Ovis aries: one gene and its partner. The protein of the gene in region 1 purifies or fractionates together with the protein of each later gene. This does not show direct contact. Links are inferred from orthologs where the notes say so. Each region holds a gene or a part of one and is shown in the gene's direction. Other genes may lie near its edges.

Region 1 (3,646 bases):
AGAACCTCTGGAAGCCCTTTTATATTGCTTCCTTCACTGGCAGGAGGAAAGACCTAGATTAAGGACAAAGGAATGGCTAGCTCCTTTAGAATTAGATGAAATTTAAAATTTAGAGATTTTGAAATTGGAGAGAGAGAGAAAATTACAGCACTTTGGAACAGAAGGATAAGAAGCGCTACCAATTGGTATTAAGTAGATTTTGGCAGGGTATATATTAACTTATTTTTTCCAAACTCCCCCCCCCCCCACCTTTTTTTTTGACCTAGGCGAATTATGCATATCAGAAAATGAAAGAAGGCTTGTTTCTAAAGAGGCTTGGAGCAAACTGCAGCAGTACTTTCCGAAGGCTCCCGAATTCCCAAGCTCCAGGGAGTGCTGTTCACAATGCAAGGTACGTGCCGCCCGCGGCCCTGGCAGCTGGGGAGCCACAGGTCTCCTCCCTGGACTGATTTGCCAGGAGGACTGGCACTGCGCTTTGAGTGGAGGTGCAGGGAGGCGGCAGGTCCTGTGCTGGCAGCTGGGGATGGCTGATCGCTTCCTGCTTGATTCTCTTTCAGATTCTAGAAAGAGAAGGGGAAGAAAACGAAGCCTTACATAAGATGATTGCAAACGAGCAGAAAACTTCTCTTCCAAATTTGTTCCAGGACAAAAACAGACCGTGTCTTAGTAACTGGCCGGAGGTATCATGATTCCCACAAAGGGGTAGAATCCATCTCACCTTTGTAAGGCCCTTGCCAAGTTCCTGAGTGAACAGTGCTTTCAGAATAATGAGATTGTCTCTGTTTCTTAAATTTGTATAGTTTTCTAATCTGGAGGATTCGACTCTTGCTCGTGGTTGCTTGGTAGAGGGCTCTATTTCCATTTTATTTATGAGACTTGAAAGGGAAAACCCACAGTATATGGAGACATTTTCTCTATAGGATTTAGGTTAAGAATGCAGTGAATTTAAGAGATACTTTGGTCTGATTTTTCTGCTCCAGGAAACAGATGTCCTCTACATTGTGTCACAGTTCTTTGTAGAAGAGTGGCGAAAATTTGTCAGGTAAATTCCAAAGGCTACCCATTTCCTTTTTTTTATTTTTGATTACAGTATTTTTAATTCATGAATTGTAATCATGGTACCTTACCTTTTACTATAACAGCCTATACTGAAATCTTTTTTCCTGAGAATTTAAATGAATAATCCTTAGAAGTACATTTAGTTATTAATATCCATGAAAAATGTCTCTAATTTTTAAATAATCATAAAAAATCTTCTCTTCAGTCATGCCATAGTGAAGTATATTGATCGTCCTTTGCTCATTTGAGTAGGAAACCTACCAGGTGCAGTCCTGTGTCATCGGTTGGAAACAGCGCTCTCCTGTGTCCCCACGGGGGCCTCATGTTTACATTTGCTTCCATGACCAAAGAAGATTCTAAACTGTGAGTTTCTTCTCTTCATGCAATGTTTGTTTCCGATGGTTAATAGAATGTGTTTAGGAAACATCTCGTCTAACACAGTCTATTTTAAGAACCAATCTTTTCTTGAATTGTGGGATTATTTCCTCTGGTATAACCAGAGGTTGGCTTGTCTTTTTTTTCTAAAGGCTGCTTCTTGTGCTCGCTGTGGGATTATTTCCTCTGGTGTAACCAGAGGTTGGCTTGTCTTTTTTTTTTTAAGACTGCTTGTTGTGCTCACTTTGGCAGCACATATACTGAAAAGAAAGACTGCTTCTCCGTAAAAGTCAGGAGGCTGCCTGAGGCTACTTGCTCTTATTTCTCCCCTCTCCTTCCTGGAGCCCCGCTTTCTCCTTAGAAATTGCTAGTACCCAGGGCAGTGTCTCTAGGTTACGTCGTTCCCCTCTGTAGCTAATTTCTTGGCTCAATTTTGGTTTTTGAGGTTTAGCCGTGTTGATTCGTGTGACTCCAGTACATTTAGTTTCTCTGCTTTTTTTCATACAAAAGAAAGTCATAGCATTCTTTAATTTGAAAAACTACCATTCGTGTTGGTGTATCTTTCCCTTCTCAATTTTTTTGTATTAAATAGTGGTTTTGATAGTTGTGGTTTACAGATGGATTATGTCCTTGTGTCTTAAAGCATGTTGTGTTTTTTTGCACAGTATAGCTCTCATATGGCCCAGTGAGTGGCAAATGATACAAAAGCTCTTTGTCGTGGATCATGTAATTAAAATCACGAGAACTGAAGGAGGTGATGCAAGCCCTTCAGAAACACAGTATATTTCTGAGCCTAGTAAGTGTTCAAATTGCTCTTGGTTTATGTAGTTAAAAGTTACAATTTTAACTGGGAGGGAAAGAGTATGTCAGTATTGTATTCTTTACTTAAAGAGCTCGTGGTGGTCCATTCTATATTCCTTAGCTGGAAAGTATCATATAATGACTGTACTTGTATGTTTTTTGACAGTAAAAATTTACTTATTTGCATATGATAAAATACAGCCATTAAAAAATAAGAGGAGTAGTTTGATAAATACTCTCTGGTAACTTTGAAATGTTCCTTTAGATCTTTCCTTCTTTTGGTAGTGATTCCTCAGCCACTGCTCTTTTACCTTTTTTAAAATAAATAAATAAATAAAACCTTTTTTCTTAGAGCTCTGTCCAGAATGTCGAGAAGGCTTATTGTGTCAACAGCAGAGGGACCTGCGTGAATACACTCAAGCCACCATCTACGTCCATAAAGTTGTGGATAATAAGAAGGTACCAGTCCCTCTTGTGGCCATGACTAGTAATGATTAAGCTTGCTTTTTGACTTGTTTGATTTTCACTGAATATTGCCTGGAGTTCCTTTGAAGGGTGGAGCCATTGGACTGGAATGGAAGAGGAATAGTTACATAAATTTATGTGGGTCTGTTGTTCGGTCACTAAGTCACGTTCAACTCTTTGTGGCCCCATGGACGGCAGCACGCCGGGCTTCCCTGTCCTTCACCCAGAATTTGCTCAAACCCATATCCATTGAGTCAGTGATGCCATCCAGCCATCTCATCCTCTGTCATCCCCTTCTCCTCCTGCCCTTAATCTTTCCCAGCATCAGGGTCTTTTTTAATGAGTCGGCTCTTATCATCAGGTGGGCAAAGTATTGGAGTTTTAGCATCAGTCCTTCCAGTGAATATTCAGGATTGATTTCCTTTAGGGTTGACAGGTTTGATCTCTTTGTAGTCCAAGGGACTCTCAAGAGTCTTCTCCAGCACCACAGTTCAAAAACATCAATTCTTCTTTATGGTCCAACTCTCAAATCCATACACAACTACTGGAAAAACCATAGCTTTGACTATATGGATCTTTGTTGGCAAAGTGACGTCTCTGCTTTTTAATACAGTGTCTAGGTTTGCCGTAGCTTTTCTTCCAAGGACCCAGTGTCTTTTAATTTCATGGCCGCAGTCACCATCTGCAGTGATTCTGGAGCCCAAGAAAACAAAATCTGTCACTGTTTCCACATTTTCCCCATCTGTTTGCCATGAAGTGATGGGACCAGATGCCATGATCTTAGTTTTCTGAATGTTGAGTTTTAAGCCAGCTGTTTCACTCTCCTCTTTCATTCTCATCAAGAGGCTCTTTAGTTCCTCTTTGCTTTCTGCTTTTAGAGTGGTATCATCTGCATATCTGAGGTTGTGGTTGTTTCTCCCGGCAATCTTGATTCCAGCTTGTGATT
Region 2 (3,186 bases), on another chromosome or scaffold:
GCAGGTCGTTGGTAGTGCTGTCACCTTCTCCATTCGGTACCAGCTTGTCCGACTCTTCTATGATGTCTGAGGCCCCGATCCATTGCCCTTTGCTTCACAGCCTCCGGGGTTACTGACTCAGGCCAACATCTCCTGGACCAAGACTGCCAACTAGCCCAGGCCTCTCCCACCCTTCATTTTCCTCCAGATTTTGTTCTCAGCATTTCCTTTCCCCTGTGATTATTGACACGTGGGCCTGTCTCACTCTCTAATGACTGGTGATTGGACTTTGCCTATGGCTTTCTTCAGCTTGCCACTCTCCCTCTCCATCCCATCTTTGCTGCCTCCTAAGTTGGGGTACTGTAGCTTTTATGCAATTGCCCACAACTCTGACACTCAAGGAGAATGCTGGACTTGGGGACAGAACCCTGGCTGGGGATAGAGACACAGGTTCAAAGGTGACTTGACATTTGACTATAAATTAAGTATTCTGATGATTAAGAGCAGACCGGGGGCCAGGTGCTCCCAGTGGTGACAATAAAGTATTGTCTTTTTCTTCTTGTTCCTATAGGTATATTTCCTATGTGGGCATTGTAGGGTGGATGGGGAAGGTTGAAGGAGGTATTTCCTCGGAGAGGATGCCTATCTCTGTCCCATCCTTTTTTCTTTCTTTCTTTTTTTTTAAGCACATCAGGCGCCTCCTAGCAAGAAGTGATCAGAAAGAACAGACCAGACAGAACATGTTGAATAAATGTGAAATCTGCTGCTTGGGTGGCATAAAGGGCCATAAGATTGGGGTTATCTGTTCTCTGGGGTAGGGTTGGACTTTAAGTGGGGGTCTCATTCCTTCCCTTTTTCACTCTTCTTTTGCCAGGTAGGAGGAGGGAGTGACCAGACCTAGGACGGGAGGCAGAGGTAGTTGTGGTGTTGACTCTTTTCCTTTAAAAATCTTAGGCCTGCCTTGCGCAGACTTCCCAGACGCTCTTGAGGTGGCTTCCGATTCTACCCTTCTTGTCTTCCGGTTCTGGTCTCGGGCTATAGCGTTTAAATCTGGCGCGCTTCACTTGGATTGGCTACAGCCGAGACTGGCTGGCTGTCGGGTAGTCTCTGCGCCTCCTCCCGTGTTCCCCGGGCAAAGGGTTTTCAAATTCGGCCAATCGGCGGACGCGTTCCCTCAACTGGGGCGCGTCACCGAAGAGTTAACCTCAGCCAACCAGAGGCGGGTATTCGAGAAAAGAGCCAATCAGAAAGGCGCGGGGGTGTGCCCTGAGGGGCTTATAAGGGCAGCCCGTGGTCGCGCGCGGAAGCGTTAGACTGCGGCGGGTGGTTGTTCCTGTGTTTTGTTAGCCGTCCTCACCGCTCCTCTACCTCATACAGCATGTCTGGCCGCGGCAAGACCGGCGGCAAGGCCCGCGCCAAGGCCAAGTCGCGCTCTTCGCGAGCAGGCCTCCAGTTTCCCGTGGGCCGCGTGCACCGGCTGCTGCGGAAGGGCCACTACGCCGAGAGGGTGGGCGCCGGCGCGCCGGTCTACCTGGCGGCGGTACTCGAGTACCTCACCGCCGAGATCCTGGAGCTGGCGGGCAACGCGGCTCGCGACAACAAGAAGACGCGGATAATCCCCCGCCACCTGCAGCTGGCCATCCGCAACGACGAGGAGCTCAACAAGCTGCTGGGCGGCGTGACGATCGCCCAGGGAGGCGTCCTGCCCAACATCCAGGCCGTGCTGCTGCCTAAGAAGACCAGCGCCACCGTGGGGCCGAAGGCGCCAGCGGGCGGCAAGAAGGCCACCCAGGCCTCTCAGGAGTACTGAGGGCGCCCGTGCCGCCACCGCCCAGCCCTCCCCTCTACACCACAAAGGCCCTTTTAAGGGCCACCACAGCACTCACAGAAAGAGCTGGGCCACTTCGGGCTCCCGGCCTGGCGGCCGCGCTGTCGCCCCTTCCCGGCCCGCCCCTCCCCCCCGCGGCTGGCTCCCGCCGAAGCCCGGCGGAGGGCGTGCGTTCGAACGCCGCTCGGCCCCGGGAGCGAGCTCGTGACTCGGCCGGCTTGGCCCCAGAATGCCGATGGGCTGCGGGGAGGCCGCGGCACCTTCCGGAAAGCCGGGCCGGGGAGTGCGGGAGGAAGGTGAGTCGGTGCGGACGGTCGCCGCCGAGGCCGTGCGCTCTGCTTCAGCTCGGTGCTTAGTACAGGACTCGATTGTCGCCGCCGGCGGAGTCAATCGGTTGCTTCATTTCGTCCCAGGACCCCTTTTGTTGCCGGATCTCGGGCCTCGCACGTCCGCGTTCCCTCCATCTTCATTCGCAGGCCTGTGCGCGTACTGGAAGAAACCCTTCGCGGCGTGACCGTCTCCAATACTAGCGGGTCCTGGCGGCGTGGGGTCTGCGGGAGCCCTGCCTCCGGGCCCGCCCCTCCTCCCCACTCCCTTCCCGTCGGGTCCATTCCGCCTGCCAAGCACCTAGATACCAGCACAAGTCCGTTAATCCCCGTCTGGACTGAGCCGCCTTTGGCTTCGGAACTGGAATTTTGCAGCTAACCCATCCAAAACTAGTACTTTAGGTATTGGGGGGAGTTTCAGATGGACTAATTTTATTAAAGGGTTTTTTCCTAAAGAAAAGTGAGTTGTGTTCATTTTGCAAAAGGGTTGTAGAGTCGACTCTGTAGATACCTAAAGGTAGTGGGGGAGGGGAACCGATATAAGGCTTTACTGTTAACTGGAGCGACAAATTGTAGATTATTAAGATGATGGCTTTCTTGGCGTTCCCTGGGAGACACTCGATTCTGTCAAAAAATGGGAACTACTGACAGAAGGCGTTTTTCAGGAGAACTTTGAAAGGGTCCTAGCCTCAGAGATCAGGCATAAATAAAGAGTTTTGAGTTTGTCCTTCCTTTTCTGCAGCTCCACCAAAAACAAAAACCACCTTTAAATTTGGTTTATTAGTAGAACTGGTTACATTCAAAGGCTGTGGCTTCTTATTAAGATTTTTTTTTTCTCTAGAGAGGAAGCCCCCTCCTTGCCTCCTGGGGAGGCAAGGCCCCTCGGTGAGACAAGTCTCTGGAAGTCTCTGCCCCTGCAGTTCAATCCTGTGGGGGTAGCCACTCCTCAGGTAGCAGAGGGCTGGGATGTAGGCACTGGACACCAGCAAGGCAGGCACCTGTGCCCCACAGACCAATTAGTGGGCTTCATTGAGCTGCCGTGCAACATCCAAG

The links. Proteins that work in one complex are often made in the same cells at the same time.
Region 2: the proteins of USP48 (region 1) and histone H2AX purify together in Homo sapiens (affinity purification with mass spectrometry; 3 studies listed by BioGRID). This does not show direct contact. The link is inferred for Ovis aries from reciprocal best matches to the Homo sapiens genes USP48 and H2AX.

Annotation. Positions count from the first base shown.
Region 1 is NC_056055.1:244,805,640-244,809,285, forward strand, and holds part of USP48 (ubiquitin carboxyl-terminal hydrolase 48), read left to right. Parts: intron 1-266; coding exon 267-391; intron 392-557; coding exon 558-680; intron 681-980; coding exon 981-1,042; intron 1,043-1,311; coding exon 1,312-1,422; intron 1,423-2,099; coding exon 2,100-2,230; intron 2,231-2,587; coding exon 2,588-2,694; intron 2,695-3,646.
Region 2 is NC_056068.1:29,402,736-29,405,921, reverse strand, and holds histone H2AX, read left to right. Parts: upstream 1-1,284; 5' UTR 1,285-1,357; coding exon 1,358-1,789; 3' UTR 1,790-2,593; downstream 2,594-3,186. Other genes in the region: DPAGT1 (UDP-N-acetylglucosamine--dolichyl-phosphate N-acetylglucosaminephosphotransferase), read left to right, coding at 5-70. UniProt on the Homo sapiens protein: Variant histone H2A which replaces conventional H2A in a subset of nucleosomes. Nucleosomes wrap and compact DNA into chromatin, limiting DNA accessibility to the cellular machineries which require DNA as a template.